Linked DNA regions of Coturnix japonica. The protein of the gene in region 1 purifies or fractionates together with the protein of each later gene. This does not show direct contact. Links are inferred from orthologs where the notes say so. Each region holds a gene or a part of one and is shown in the gene's direction. Other genes may lie near its edges. The genes, in order: STK4, MAP1S and RASSF3.

Region 1 (4,871 bases):
GCCAAGTAACTGGCTCTTAACCCACCAGAAAGGAACTAGATGAACTTTAAGGTCCCCTCCAACCCAAGCTATTCTGTGATTCTAAGTAACTGCTCAGAATGGTGCATGCATTTGTAGTTGGTTGTCGACAATTGAGCTGGTGAGGAATAAGTAGTGCTTGTGTGTGGGGAATGAGCCCCAGTAACCCCATGGTAATGATGTTCTACTGCTCTGTGTTAGTTCAAGTGCAGTGCTTACTAACTTTAACATACCACACAGCATCCATTTGTTAAGAGTGCCAAAGGAGCATCAATCCTGCGCGATTTGATTAACGAAGCGATGGATATAAAACTGAAACGCCAAGAGGCACAGCAGCGTGAACTGGATCAAGAAGATGAAGAAAATTCAGTGAGTATTTAATAGCTACAGTATACAGAGCTCAGCCTCTTGGACCTCGCATAATGCTAAGCTGCTTTGTTCCTTATTTTTATAATGTATTGTTCAGCTGCCCATGGGTTTTATATGATTCTTGAGTTTTGTACTTAGGGCTGCTTAACTTGATGTTTGAGCTCTGCTCAACCTTTATGTTTGAATGGGGCAGTCAGCAAATATGACCTTGTATTTAGTTCAGAGTGTAGCTAAGACCTGCCATAGACCATGAGTAAGTAGTAGCACATACTAAAGACTTAGTATGAGTTTCTGATTGGATGATATTATTTATGCAGCAGTGAGAAGTGTTTCATTGTAGAGTCAGATCTTATATTGCTCTCTTAATACAAACTAATATGTATGATGCACTATGATATAAGTGTGTTATGTTTCACTGTTGTTGTGCTTTAGAACATCCCTTATAGAAACTTTGTACTACACAAGAGCAACCGCCAGAAGTATGAGGTGAGGGCATGACAAGCGTGCAGGGGATTGCTGTGAATTTCTGTCCTTGGTGCCTTGTTCCAGTGATGACAGCATGTGAATACAGAAAGCATGTTGAAAGCTGTTTCATGAGCCTCTGCTTGCTTCAACCTGAATAAATGACACGGGCAGCAAAAGGCACCGTGCGCCACAGTCCTTTCCAAAGGTTGGACAGGAGGAGTGTGTTGCATTGTAAAAACAGATGTGTGCTGTTCATCTAGTTTTCCAGTTTAGGACTGTGTATTTATTCAGTGTGGAAGTAGTTTTATTGGCTCTGTTGCCACGATGTTGACCCAAAGAGTGTTGTCCCAACTGTCTCTCATTTGTTTCTGGGGTGGTGGTGCAGAGAGGTGGCATCTCTGCAGAGGAGCTGAGTGGTCTCTGTCCAGGCCTGTTTGTTTTCCTGAAGCTTCTGTTCTCTGTGTCTGCCGGCAGAAAAGTGTTCTCAAGAGCTTTGGAAGTGCTGTGGAAATTTCTGCTGTGGTTCTTTGTTAAATGATGTGTAGCAAAGGAATTTATTGCTTCCTCTCACCCATTCATCTCCACATAAAACATACTTCTCTTCCATTAACATCTTATATAGTCTTTCCCTCCACGTGCTTTGATATTTGGAGATGCATTTATACAGACATGCTTAACAGAGCAAAGAAAATGCGTAGAACACCAGAATGTTTAAGGTGTTCTGCCAGTGACATTGGGGTAGGTTTAGCCCAACAAGCTGGAATACTCGCTGTTTTCCCTCTGTCACTAATTCAGACCAGGAAGCCCAACATTTACACATAGGTTAAAGAACTGTGAACTTAATCCTCAAACCAAAATATGAGCTTTATTTTTTCAATGTTAATTTTCAGGATGAGGTGCCCAGAAACTTGTTTTACCACATTTAACAGGTACCACTGCTGTAGGTTTAGGAATTGATTTCTATTGCTGTTGTCCAGCTGCACATTGCTGGTAAACTAAGTAGACTGTAGTCATTTGGACCTCACTCTTCACTACTGATGGAACTTGTTTCAGAAGTTTCTTTTCTTGTGGGTTCAGTCACTTGAATTTTGGCAGCAATAATTCAATTTCTGCAATACTGATACCCGTTAATAAATGGTAGGGTAAGAAATAGTTTTCATCTGGTACAAAAAATTGATTAGACTTTGATAATTTAGTTCCTTTTTGGTTCAGTTTTCTTCAGTGCTTCTGAATTTTATAGAAATAAAACCACTCAAATGTTGCAAGCAGACTTATAAAATGGAGGGTAGTGGCTTTTCTTATGGTATACCACGCACAATACAGACTGAGAGCTGTTGTTGGTAATGAATGCCTCCTCAGTGAACTGTATTACTTAAGACAGGGTTTTAAATCAACTGTTATAACTGGCAGAGCGAATAGAAACATTGCTGACTGAATGAGGATTGCAGTCTATTTAGGGCTGGCTCACCAGGTCAGCAATGAGATGCTGGTTCTGTTGAGAAACTTCCAGTGATTGTTTCTGTTTTTATTTCACACTTTGGCAGTATGAAGAGTTTTCCTTACTTATTTGGAGGTATCAGGGAGAGACCTTAGTGCGTAGCATAAAATGTTGCTGGTTTCCATCTGTCTCTGTCAAGATCTCTGAATTAGTAAGATTTTCCAGTCTCTGTGAATACAACCACTTTTCTTTGGACTTCACCACCATCAGTAAAAACGTACTTCTGGTATCTTTGTACAGGAGGAAGATGAAACTGATTCGGGTACCATGGTGAGGGCGAGTGGAGATGAGACCGGTACCATCAGGGTGGTCAACACGATGAGTGATGGAGCCAATACAATGATAGAACACGATGGCACCTTGGAATCCCAGTTGGGTACAATGGTCATAAACACCGAAGATGAAGAGGAGGAGGGCACCATGAAAAGTAAGCATCTCTCAACTGAACAAACTGTTCTGAGGCGCTCAAGTTGAAATTTGTTCCATCCCAATAGAGAAACACTTGATAAGACTGTAAGCCTTATCACAAGGTGTAAGATTTAAAGTGATGCCATGTTGATTGCTGGTAGTCTGTGCAAGACCTATGTGGGTGCCCTCCAGTGTTTGTGAGGGGATACTGCTTTCTCCTAGCATGAGATTTCAGCAAAACCTGCTCCAGGGTTTTGGCAGACTTTAGCAAACACTGATCCAGTGCTTTAGAAATGGAATAGAAGGGGAGGTGTCAGCCAATGCAACACAGCCAGGGGAATAACGCTGTTGGGTGTTTGTGGTGTGAGGTGACCAGCAGGAGGCAGGTAGATGCTAAGAGGACTTTAATGCTCAGCCAAAGAGAATGGGATGTGTTAGCACCTCTGTATCAAATGAAGTTACTATTTCTGTACAAATAGAAACTGTGTGTGCTGTTCTGTTTCATGATTTACAGCAGAGGCAGTAGGATGGGCTGCCCAGGGAGGTGGTGGAGTCACCGACCCTGGAGATGTTCAAGGGAGGTTTGGACTTTGTGTTGAAGGATGTGGTTTAGTGAGAACTATTGGTGATGGGTGGATGGTTGGACTGGGTGATCCTGTGGGTCTTCACAACCTTCGTGACTCTATGATTATCTATGGGGCTCCTGCAGTGGCTATCAGAGCTGTGTCAGCAGCGCAGCGGTGCTTCAGTTGATCTTTGTGCTTAATAGGTGTTTATTTTCTCACCTTCTTTTTAAGATTGCAGTGCTTGTAACTCAGAAACTCGTGTGCAGAGCTTTGACACATGTGATAACCTTTCCTTTGCATGGATTTAGAGCAGAAACAGGAGGGTATTGCCTACTAATATGGTTTAGCATCTAGCCTCAAGAGGGAGCTCCAGAACAAGCTCTAAGAGCGTAGCTCTGCGGCTGGGATTTGCAGCCAGGCGTGGAGCAGAAGTGCTGGAGCAGCTCTGCATCCCACAGGAAGCACTTGGAAGCCCGGGGCCCAAGTGCTGTCTGACACTGGTACCACTGCCATGGTGAGAGGTTCAGCACAGGAGCATCCAGTGAAACCCGGCTGTGCTCAGCTCGCTGCTGCGGGTTGTGCTGCATTGCTGTAACGATTCCAATAGATATGATACTAATGAATATGATTGTACCAAACTGAAACTTGGCTTTTCCTTTGCACCTTACCCTCTTTCTTCCCCAGCACCATAACGCTGACATTCTTGCTCCTGCACACAGAGGTTCTGTAATGGTTTCTTAGGCACATTGAAGATCAGTGTCTTTTAGCAGCTTGCAGGTATCTTCCACGTGAATTGCCTACAGCTCTGTTTTGCAGCCATCTCCATATTCATGTTTGCTTAACGTGCAGTTAAATTGATTTAACTGTAAAGCTTATCTGCCTGCTGCAGAGCTCTCTGGAGCAAATTCCTTTTGTGATTCTGAACATAAAAGTAATAATGGTATTTGGAAGCAGCTGAATGTGAAGAAGCTCCATTGATTCATATTTTTGAAGAAGTCAGTGTTTTACTTGGCAGCTTGTGTTATGACTCACAATAAAACCTGCTTTAAATCAATAAAGAAGTGCAGATATTTCTTGCGTGGCATTAGCAGGAGAGATGAGCTTTCCTGGGGTGGCTGTGTGCCACCTTCCTGACTGTGAGCTTCTGAGCTACACTCTGCTCTTATGAGAACAAAATCCCATCTTTTGCAGTTTGGCCTTTGTTTTTTCCTTTTCTTTTTAATGTAAAAATCTTTAAGACATTGCAATGCAATGCATTAGATGGCCTTGTCTTAGAAATCTCCAGCAAACAAGTTCTGATGGCTTCCCAAGTGATTCTTGCTTGAGTCAGCTCGTGACATTTCAGGCTCAGAGGAGAAGCATCCTTATGTTGTAGCAATGTTGTACGTGATATGAAGAAAGTTCTTTTTGTTTTGTAGTCAACTGAGCTGCATTTCCATTTGCTTAAACTCTTTGCTTGGCTTTTTTTTCTTGGATGCTCAACATAAGCATTCAGGCAGCATTAAAAAATGTCACCGCGACATTCTCATATGCATTTTCAAAGCACT
Region 2 (5,556 bases), on another chromosome or scaffold:
CCCATTAATCACCCCCTCCCCCCATTCATCTCCCCCCCGTCCCCATTCATTTCCCCCCCCAGGTGCTGTTCGCAGCCATGCAATGATATGGGGACACGTTGTGATGCCGGGGGTCTCTCCGTGTTATTTAGGGGGGGGGATTTGGGGGTCGCCCACCCGCCCACTCTGCGCATTGAGCGCCCCCTGGTGGCCGGAGTTGTGTCAGTCCTCCAGCGCTGCCCGCCGGTAGGGGGCGCTCTACCCACAACTCGCTGCTTCCGCGATGCACGATGGGAAATGGAGGCGAAGCTCGCAGCCACTTCCGCTTTGAGGGCGGGGGAGAACTGCGTTACCCAGAATGCACCGCGTGACGAGGAGAGGGGGCGGGGCTTGGAGTCACGTGTAGAGCGGCCAGGCCGCGGCCTCGGCTTAAGCAGCGTGGGGCTGGGGGGGGGGGGGCTGTAATGTGGGACCCCTCCCCTTATTGAGCTTCAGATGGAGCCCCACACTCATAGGGGGGCATGGGGGGGCTTGGAGGGACCTGTCAGCTCAATACAGCCCTGATGTGGGGTAGGGATGGGGGGCTTTGAAGCCTTGGGGGGGGGCAAAGCAGTGCCCATTTGGGGGTCCTGAGGCTGCAGCCATTGGCATTAAGGAGGAGGAGGAGGAGGAGGGGGGGGGGTCGTTCCTGCCTCCTCCTGCCCCCCCGCCTCGAGGTGCAGCCCCCCCCCCATAGCTGTGTTTGCTCAATGAATTGGCCCCCGGGCTGCACACAGCGCTGACGTCCATCCTATGGCTCATCCACATCCCAAGGGATGGCACCGCAGGGATGTCTCCCCTCGCTCAGCACAGTGTTGGGTTATTGTTGGGGGGGGGGGGACACAGCCCATAGACAGACTATGGGGTGAGGAGGGAGACCCTGCCTGCGTCAGTGGGTGTTTGCCCACCACCCACGGGCTGTTGAGGGGGGGGATAAAGGCAGCTGAGCCCCGCATTGTTGGGGATGGACGTTGGAAGATGGGCACTGCGTGGCTCTGCCTGCTCTGTGCAGCCAGCGCCGGCCTCGTCCCGCTGGGCAATGGGGGGGAACGAGGGCTGTGGGCAGCCCCACATCGTCAGGAGCCAGAGCTGGTAGGGGGCTGAGGGCTGGGGGCTGAGGGCTGGGGGCTGGGGGGGGGTCCCTGCTGTATGTACCCCTCATTGGGGGGACGTTGGCAGGGTTTTAAGGACGGGGGGGTCCGTGGTGTTGGAACCTGGGTGGTTTTTGGAGCTTATCTCATAGCTTGGGTTAGAAAAGGGCCATCCACGTGGGAATGGGGTGTGGGGATGAGCAGCTTTCACCTCTTTGTTCTCTCTCTGCCCATTGAGCTCCTGCCCCGAGGGGTCGATGCCAGAGGTGCCGGCGTTGAGGCGCTGCAGGAGGTGCTGGAGAAACTGCGACACAGGGAGATGCCACCGAGCACCAAGAAACCGGGCAGGGTCCCCTCGGTAGGGCCGGGGGGGTCTTTGGGGGGGTCTTTGGGGGGGGGGGGGCACCCAGGCCTGTTGCTGATAGTGACAGCTCTTATCTCACAGTGCCACCTCGGGGAGCCCTGTGCTGTGCGGGTGGGGGCTCGATTTGGGAAGCGTTGTAGCTGCCCCCCCGGCACCGTGTGCAACCTGTACATCCTGCATTGCTCCTAAGGGATGAGGACAACAAGGATGCTGCCGTCTATTGGGATGCTGCCGTCTATTGGGATGCTGCCGTCTATTGGGATGCTGCTGGGTTCATGCTGTGTTGTGTGATATGGGGGGGGGGGGCTATGGGTCTCAGCCCCCTCCCCACGTTGAGATCTGCTTCTCTCCGTTGATCTCAGTGCCTTCACCGATCCCTGGGGGTCGCATTAAACCACTTGGACCCTCTGCTACCGCCTGGCTCTGCTATTTGGGGGTTCAGTGATGCCATTGCAGGCTCTAAACCGAGCTGTGGGGGGGTGGGAGCAATAGGGATGCAATGGGGCCGTACCCAGCGCTATGATACACTGCAGTCTATGGTCCCAGAGCCGGGCCCCACCCGACGGCCCCACCCCGCCATCGCCCTTTTAAGCCCACCCCTCCCTCCACCCTCTCTCCCTTCACACCTCGCCCTCCCATTGGCCAGCGGTGACGTCAGTGGGCGTGGCTCGCCGGAGCTGACGCCAAAAAGTAGGCGTGGCTTAAAGGGGGCGGGCAGCGCGGCTGCGGGGGGCGCCGAAGATGGCGACGGCGGTGGCGGCGGCGGCTCCTCCCGGTCCGACCGTGGGGCCGCGCCGCTTCTCGCTGCTGGCGATCGTGGGTGGCGGATGTCACCGGCCGGGGCTGCTGGCGGCCGCCCTGCAGCAGCTGGAGCGAGGTGAGCCGTATATTGCATCCTATTGCGGCCCCATCGACGGGGCCCGGCCACATCAAAAGGCCTGAGGGGGGGGGAGGGGGAGTAAGGGGGGGGTCGTTGGGGCGGGGTCGTCGTGGGATGTGGGGGGAGCTGTGGGCACCGCCCCCCTCCATATGGATGCTCGGGGGAGGACGCAGCGCCAGCATCAATCAGTGCCTGCCCACCCCCGCGGTCCGCCCCCGTTCTCTTATATCTCCTATGTTGCCCCCACCTCCCCCATCTCCCCCATCTGCCCCATCTGCCCCATATCCTGGTGGTCTGCCCCATATCTATGGGTCAGCCCCACATTATGGGTCAGCCCCATATCTATGGGTCAGCCCCATATCTATGGGTCCAGCCCCATATCCTTGTGGTCTGCCCCATATCCTTGTGGTCTGCCCCATATCCTTGTGGTCTGCCCCATATCCTTGTGATCAGCCCCATATCCTTGTGGTCTGCCCCATATCCCTGTGATCAGCCCCATATCCTGGTGATCAGCCCCATATCCTGGTGATCAGCCCCATAACCTGGTGATCTGCCCCATATCCTTGTGATCTGCCCCCCCTCTTTTAGTCCCAGCCATCTGCCCCCACCTCCCATCCCTGGGGGCTGCTTTGTGTAGGAAGAGATGCTGGGGGGGGGTCTTAGCTCCTCCCTCATTGCCAGCCCAGAGCTGTGATACCTCAATGCCGGAGCAGCCCAACGCTGGGGACACCCATGTGTCACTATGGGGGGGGACCAAAGCCAATGGGGAACCATTAGAGAACGGCTCCAGCAGCTCTTTGTGCAACCCCACACTGCGGCTCATTGCGCCATCAGCAGCCGTTAGTGATGGTGGTGGCAGCCCTTCCCCCCCCTTCTTCCTCTTCCAAAGACCCCCTGAGAGATGGAGCTGCTCTATAGGTCCAATTAGTTGGAGCTGCAATGGGTTGGAGGCTTCCCTTCCCTTCTATGGCAGCTCTCACCCCGTTAATCCCATTCATTAGCACCGCCTTTGAGGAGGTGCTGGGAAGGCTCTGCCGTAGCCTCAGGGTTTGGGTTTGGGGTTGTGAGTCACATCATGGCATACAGAGCACACACCAGCAGTGCCACCATCACACCCAAGTCCCCACTCTATCCCCATTGATTGCAGTGGGGAATAGAGAGGGTGAGGAGTGGGGACAGTGGGGTTCTGTCGCCTGCTGTGTGTATGGGGACAGCAGGCAATGCCCATCCTGCAGGTATCCGCTCCTGGGACATCGACCTGACCTCCTGCAACCTGGATGAGCAGCTGAAGCTCTTTGTCTCCCGTCACTCCGCCACCTTCTCCAGCATCGTTAAAGGTACCGAGGTGACACTTAGAGCTGGGGACAGCACAGCAATGGGGCTGAGTGCCACGGTCCTTACCTGACCCCATGGCAGTGATTAATTCATGCGTCTCCAGAGGAGATGGGATGAGATGGGATGGGATGAGATGGGATGGGATGAGATGGGATGGGATGGGATGAGATGAGATGGGATGAGATGGGATGGGATGAGATGGGATGGGATGAGATGGGATGAGATGGGATGAGATGCTCTTTGCTACACAAGCATTTCGCTGCTTCTGGAAGCTGGATTTGGGGAGGAGGTGCTGACAGCCATCACAGCCATAGAGGCCAACATGGTGGTGGTGGTGAAGGGGCTTTATGTGTCTGTACCTTTATCTCAGCCATCCCTGGCTGCTGTTTGGGGCTGAGCCCCGTGATTCCCACGTGGGAAGCTGCTTCCTACACCAACAGCCACATTCATTCCTCCCCTTGAGGGTGGATGCTGGTGGGATTGTGTGGTCACTGTGGTGCCGGCGTGTCTCATCCCATGTGTGTTTGCAGCTCACCACCCCTTGGTGGGGCTGGGGTACCCCATGTCCACATTGTGTTTGGCTCCTGGGGGGGTGGGTGTTTGCTTGAAGCCAATGGAGATCCTCTGGGGGACCCGGCTGCTCCCTTTCCTGCCCCCCCTCCTGCAGCAGGAAGGAGATGGGAAGTGCAGCAGATCCCCTGCTGTCCCGGCTGGCAGCTGTCCCTCTTCCGTAGGGGAAGTGAACAGGTTCTATCCCCATCCTGGGCATGTCTATGTCACCCCCTGACCCACACACAGCCTGGGGTGGGGGGTATAGGGGGGTTGTCCTTATGATCCTGCCACGTTTGGGGAGGGATGGGTGGCAGCTGCTGTCCCTGCAGGTCAGCGGACCCTGCATCACCGCGGTGATGTGCTGGAGACCCTGGTGCTGCTCAACCCCTCCGACAAGTCGCTGTGTGATGAGGTGAGTGGGAAGGGGGGGGGGGGATGTAAAAGGTGTGTGAGGGGGAACAGGGGGGCAGCATCCTCACGTGTCCTCACGCCCCTGCAGCTGCGCAACCTCATCACGGATGTGTCGCAGCACAAGCTGCTGGTGTTTGCTGGGCCCTGCGTGGAGGAGACGGGAGAGTTGATGCTGCAGACCGGCTGCTTCTCGCTGCGGGACTTCATCCAGATCTTCACTGACAAGGAGGTGAGGGGCCGGGCTGTAGGGGGGGGGCACTGTCTGCTCACGTCTGCGGTGTCTCGGCTGAGCGAGCGGAGCTGTCTGTGCTGTGGGCGCATCCCTCCCTCTGCAGCATGAGGCTGGTGGGAGGGTGGCTGCTTTCTGAATCCCAATAAAGGAGACTGGGGGACACAGTTATAGCTGGGAGTGAGGCAGGGCTGAGTGAAGGCCCAGAGATTGCGTGGTGTGTGTTGGGGAGGGAGCTGCCCTATACAGAGGGACCCTGGGTGCTGCCTGGTGTGAGCAGGGCCCTGCCTGAAGCTCTCCCCTCACAGGTTGGGGAGATCCTGAGCTCCGCAGACCCTTCAGCCAAAGCCAGGCTGACCATCAGCTGCCCTGACTTTGGGGAGTGGAAGGACTCGGGCTTGGACCATCACAACCTGCAGGACTTCATTGAGCTGCGCTACAACCCAGGCTGCATCCTGCCTGAGATGGAAGGGCTGGAGGAGTTCATGGAGTACCTCTCGGAGTCATTGGAGCCCCAGTCCCCCTTCGACCTCCTGGAGCCCCCCACCATGGTGGGTTTCCTCAAGCTCTCCAAGCCCTGCTGCTACATCTTCCCAGGTGGGAGAGGGGACTCTGCTTTCTTTGCCGTTAATGGCTTCAACGTGCTGGTGAACGGCGGCTCCAACCCCAAATCATC
Region 3 (5,458 bases), on another chromosome or scaffold:
CATTTGTCTTTTCTTCATGTGCATACTGTTAGTTCTATGGGAAAATAAATTCAGTGTTTTTTTAAAGTCCTTGCCCATATTCAATGCCATGTTGTCTGCTCCGTATATGGAAGTTTGGCACTGCAGGTGTCAGACTGAATGTAGAAACTCCTTTTGTAGAGTTACAGCACTTTGGGAACGTTCCTGAAATCTTGTTGCTTACTACAAGAGAAGTGGGTTCTTAAAGTAAGATCGTTTTATCCGAAATCCTTTTTGCAGGCATAATTTTTAGAGGTTAAAAACTGATCTTACAAAGGTTTTTTGAGCAGTGAGCTGAAGAGACAGCATTGTGCCTCCTCAGTGGCGTTAGAAAAGTAATGTAACCAGTCCTGATCTTGGAGAGGTGAACCACAGGCACTGCTGACTTTATATATAATTTTCAACATTATGTTGGTAACCCGTTGCTATTTCAAAGGCTCTGAATTTTAAGAGAAACTTAGCGTGAGTTGGAATATGTGATTTTCAACGTCCTTTATACCGAAGCAATCTGAATGGGAAAGCTCATTGTGATTATATTGTCTGTATATGGAAATACGTGCGGCATTGTTTTTCATGGTTGAAGCTGATTTACGTTCTGTTATGTTCATTTTAAACATTGCTGGTTTTAATGTTGCTAAATACATCGATGATCTTAATCTTGTTAAAATTACTTGAGGGAAAGTAATTTTAACTAAGCGCTATCTAAGGATGTAATCAGTTCGTGATCCGCTGATTGCCTTCTTATGAAGTCAGTATGTTTTTCCTGTTGAGGTGCGGCATGTGATACCATGGAACTCTTGGCTCATGCTAAGTGTCCCGATGCTATCAGTCATGCCACTGATTTGCCAAAAGAAGTAATAGAAAGTAATATATGGTTCTTCCTCCTGAAGCTGGTTTGCTGTTTTGGGGGGTTTAGCGTAGTATATTAATTATCTGTTACTCAAACAAATCTGTCGTCATAGTGAAATTGTGAAAAATGCATGAGTGAATGACTTAAATACATCACTGACCACTGACTGTGGGCTGTGTCCTTTCTTCTGTTTTTCCAGTTTCATTTTTTGTTCATTTCAGTAAACTTTGTAATACTTATTTCCCTGTATGCTCCTATGAAATAAGCTTCAAATCACACGAAATCACACAGTATCCACAGAATGACCTGGGTTGAAAGGGACCTCAAGGATCATGTAGTTCCAGCCCCCTGCCTGGCAGGGCCACCAAACATACACCTTTTACTAGATCAGGTTGCCCAGGGCGTCCAACCTGGCCTTGAACACCTCCAACGGGGCATCCACAACCTCCCTGGGCAGCCTGTTCCAGGACCTAACCACTCTCCTAGTGAAGAACTTCCCCTAACATCCCAACCTAAATCTTCCCTCTTTAACTTAAAACCATTTCCCCGTGTCCTGCTATTATCAGCCCTTTCGAAGAGTTTAACTCCCTCCTGGGAGTTAATTCTCCTCAAGGTACTATAAGGCTGCAATGAGGTCACCCCGCAACCTTCTCTCATCCCAGGCTGAACAAACCCAACTCCCTCAGCCTGTCCTCATAGGGGAGGTGCTCCAGCCCCCTGATCATCTTCGTGGCATCATCTGAAGCAGCAAAGCACAACATTAGTTGGTGGTGTCCCAGACAACTGAACACCCAGCATGGCTGCCAGTAGATCCACTCATCCTTTCTGCCTTAGAACTGATACCCGTTATGATGAAAACGAGCTCCCTGTGGGAGTGCTGGAGTTCTTGGGCTGTGGAGGAGTCCTCTTGTTAGCGCTAATTGAATCCAAGTGCTGTCATAGTGGTAAACAGTAGTATAATATTGGATATAGTGCCGCCATAAGGGTTAACAAGGCCGGATGGAAGAGGGTGGGCATTATTTTGTTGTCCCGTAGTTGTCCGTGTGGGGTCCTTCTCTTGCCCCCTCCGTGCACGGCGGTAACTCGGAGGAGCTCTGAGGCACTGTGGAGCGCTGCGGGTCCGTGCCGCTCCCGCCTCTCCGGAACCCTCCTGAGGGAACCCGAGCTCGAAAGGCACGGTGTCTAAAAGCGGCTTATTATGGGATGCTCATTACGCTCCGCAGCCACCCCCTGCGCGCCGCGCGGTGTCACTGGTACCGGGCTGAGGAGCGCCGGGCGGCGCCTCCCGCACGCAGCCGAGCCCCGGGCACGGCGGGCAGGGCCGCGCTCAGCGGCTCTCCACAGGAACCCGCATGGCGGCGGCCCCACAGGGACCCGGCCCCGACCTCGGCTCCGACCCCGGCTCGTCCTGCTGCCGTCCGGCTCCTCCGAGCGCCCCGCACCGCTTCGTGCCGGCGGCGGCGGGAGCGTGGTGCGACCTCTGCTGCCGCTTCGTCGTCTCGCAGGGCCTGCGCTGCGCCGGTGAGCGGCCCCATACACACACACCCCTCGGCCCTTCTGCCCCGTCCCGTCCGTGCGGTGCCGGGTGGGGGCTCGCGTCCTTCGTGGGCGGGAACGGAGCGGCGGTGATGTGGCAGCCTTAGGTTGTTAGGAACTCTTACCAGGTTCCTGTCATTACCTCCCGCAGCTCTATTCTTACAGTTAATATTCTGAAAGGAAATAAATACTAGCGATGTGAAAATACGATTTTTAATGATTTCTTATGATTTAAGTTCTTGCACCGTTGCGACAGGACGTGTAAGTGCGGTTATGGGAAAGAAAGTAGACCTTAAGAATCCTATTATTTTCTTTTATGGTTGGCTGTTCTGTGGCAAGAGCCCTCAAGTGTCATGTTGGATTATGCATCTCCCAGCAGTGTTTTCTCAGCACGATTACAGCTCGCGCTGCTTTTCTTTCTCCTCCGTGACAAGCTCCATTTTTATCAGCCATAGTCCTCGTGGCTGCTCTCTGGTAAAGTAGCACAGGGAGCATTCAACATTTATAGCCTAGCATGGATGTAACATTTAAAAGCCATAAAGCGGTATGGAGATGAGAGGGAGTGGGAACAAAGTCACGCACAGACCGCTACTGGAGCCCAAGTGCTTGCTGGCACCCCACGGTCTGAGTGGATGGACCCAAATGGCTGAAAGATTGGTGCAGAGCGGCAAATCCCCATCTGCACCAGTGCACACCACACTCTTCATCTGACCCAGCTGTGGGGGTGGCAGCAAGGCTGGTGACCCCCGGTGGATAAAGCCATGGTCCTTGTCAGCACCCCTTGAGAAGCAGCAGCTACAGCAGGAGTTACAGTGCCAATTCCTGGCAGAGGCTTTGAGCTGCCTGGCAGGCGCGGCAGTGCTGGGAGGTATCCAGGTAGTTCTGGGCAATGGTAGAGAGCTTTGCTGCCTTATCTGAAAAGCAAAACGACAGCATCTTCCAGGCGGCCTGCAGCAGGTAAAGAAGGAACTGTGCACTGAATTGTCACGAGGATTCTGAATCAGAGAGATGGAGGTATTACTTGTACTTGGGTCACCCTGTTGGAGTTGGCACTCAGTAGCCAGCTGCCCTCAGATGAGACCAGAGTCAGAGATGTTGACCTGCATGGTAAGCACTAAAAGCAGTAAGGAGTTCCCCTGGGACGGGGAGGCAGTCAGAGGGGACAGCAGGGGGAGAATGTGGAAACTGAGGTGAACAGGGTTCTGTCTCAGCAGAAAGAGCTGCCATGTCCCTATGGAGTGGTGGCAGAATGTTATAGCAGGGCTGGGCTTTGCCATCCTTGTTTCACGGGTGGGGGCTGTGATTATCTCTGGGGTTCCATGTTGTCCTTGGTACGTGTGATAAAGTGAGGTGGGAGGATGGCTGCAGTGAATGAGGAACCACCAAGAGAAGGTTCCTTCTGCTTCTCATGCTGTTCTGGTGTGGAATCCATCAGTTGGTTTTCCAGCTTCTGCTAAAAACTGGAAAAATACCTTCATGTAACTCAGGGAAGAATGATCAGAATGGAAAAAAAGAGTTCAAGGAGATCAGTGACCATCTGTTAAATGCAGTGCACAAGGTGCACATTATTCAAGCAATATATTTCTTGGAAAAAATAAGGCAATACCGGAATTTCTGGACCTCAGCCCAGGAAGAAAGCCAAGGGTAATGAGATTCCTCTGAAAAAGATGCTTGGTAGTATCTGAGCTCTTGCTGTTATTCTGGATTACTTTTCAAGGGGGCCTTAACTGGTGCGGTGCTCATGACTTGCTTGGCCCTTCGCCTTTTCACCTCTATTTTGGGGGGAAAAGCCATTCATCTGTGCAGGCACAGACTGCTGCTGCCCAGTCTGGCTGCTCCTCACAGAGCAGTTGGGAGCAGACACAGCCCAGCTTATTCTGGCTTAAACCAATGAAATGATGTGCAGGAAAGAGCAATTTTCTCTTCTACTATTCTAGTTTTCTTTCAATCTGAGAGTGTTGTGTAGTGATAGTTGTCAGCGTCCTACATCACGCTGACGGCTTGATGGTATGTAGCATTATGTAGCACAGCAGCCCTGGAGTATTTGTGTTGTTTGCCTTATCATTTGGTGTTTGGAAGATGAGGCATTTCTAAGAGTTTTAGATAAGTGGGTGTCCTCTGGGTACCAGCCTGCAAAGGGAAGGATGGAGGCTTTACAATCACGTGTGGTGAATCTCCCTTATTACAAGACTTCTAAATCATCCTTTAGAAAACCACAAGGCCCCTTAGAACAAATTATGGTGCGTTATCTAAATGGCTCCTAATTAGCAGCACTGTTAAAGAAATAGATTCCTCCTTACAGAAAGAGGTAAAACGTGGAGGAAAGAAGGAAGTGCAGGTATTAGTGATTTTTTTTTCCTTCAAAGGATATTTTTTTGGCAAGCAATTTCTGGAATATACGTTTTAATGCTTTTTGAAAGGGAATAGACCTTTTCAGCTATCCTGGCAGCAGGAGTTCATTCGTATTTATTCCCATGTGATGTAGGGTTGTGTTGCTGGAGCTATGCCTAGACTTACCATTTGTATCACCAAACATTCTGTGTTCCAGGGTTGGCTTAAAGTTTCATCTAACGAGTGAGAACCTTGGAGCAGATTGGGGGTAAAGCTCTTCTTTCCCTCCCCGTTCTTTCTGTGGGCAGTTTTCTAATGACTTGCCATTCTCAGATTTTCCTTTATTTTGTTTGAAGACCAAGATTACCAGAATTTCTCGGGCTCCGTGTGGGCAGGAAAGGCATCACACTGCAGCCCAGGGTTTGTGTTCCCATGGGTTTGCTGTTCTAAGCCCATTTTCCCACTCATCTGCAGAGAACAGTAACTCCTCATCTGGAAGAAGCAGACCCTGCTCTGAAGTGCTGTGAGTGAACCAGATGCCAAGGAAAGCACCGAGAGGTGAACTCGCTTTCTTTGTCACCCAACAGTGCACTGGCCAAGCCTGAATCAGGGCTTAGCTCATATCCAGCACTCACAGTCATCCCTTCCTTGGCCCTGCTAGGCAGAGGGGTTGGAACTACATGATCCTTGAGGTCCCTTCCAACCCGGGTCATTCTGTGATTC

Evidence for each region.
Region 2: the proteins of STK4 (region 1) and MAP1S purify together in Homo sapiens (affinity purification with mass spectrometry; 3 studies listed by BioGRID and IntAct, with this or other methods). This does not show direct contact. The link is inferred for Coturnix japonica from reciprocal best matches to the Homo sapiens genes STK4 and MAP1S.
Region 3: the proteins of STK4 (region 1) and RASSF3 purify together in Homo sapiens (affinity purification with mass spectrometry; 5 studies listed by BioGRID and IntAct, with this or other methods). This does not show direct contact. The link is inferred for Coturnix japonica from reciprocal best matches to the Homo sapiens genes STK4 and RASSF3.

What each region holds. Positions count from the first base shown.
Region 1 is NC_029535.1:4,574,980-4,579,850, reverse strand, and holds part of STK4 (serine/threonine-protein kinase 4), read left to right. Parts: intron 1-258; coding exon 259-387; intron 388-819; coding exon 820-873; intron 874-2,590; coding exon 2,591-2,777; intron 2,778-4,871. UniProt on the Homo sapiens protein: Stress-activated, pro-apoptotic kinase which, following caspase-cleavage, enters the nucleus and induces chromatin condensation followed by internucleosomal DNA fragmentation.
Region 2 is NC_029543.1:2,348,949-2,354,504, forward strand, and holds the start of MAP1S (microtubule-associated protein 1S), read left to right. Parts: upstream 1-2,167; 5' UTR 2,168-2,214; coding exon 2,215-2,350; intron 2,351-3,588; coding exon 3,589-3,690; intron 3,691-4,569; coding exon 4,570-4,652; intron 4,653-4,739; coding exon 4,740-4,880; intron 4,881-5,188; coding exon 5,189-5,556. Other genes in the region: cocaine- and amphetamine-regulated transcript protein-like, read left to right, coding at 772-1,110, 1,348-1,467, 1,555-1,662. UniProt on the Homo sapiens protein: Microtubule-associated protein that mediates aggregation of mitochondria resulting in cell death and genomic destruction (MAGD). Plays a role in anchoring the microtubule organizing center to the centrosomes. Binds to DNA. Plays a role in apoptosis.
Region 3 is NC_029516.1:30,589,177-30,594,634, forward strand, and holds the start of RASSF3 (ras association domain-containing protein 3), read left to right. Parts: upstream 1-2,205; 5' UTR 2,206-2,220; coding exon 2,221-2,389; intron 2,390-5,458.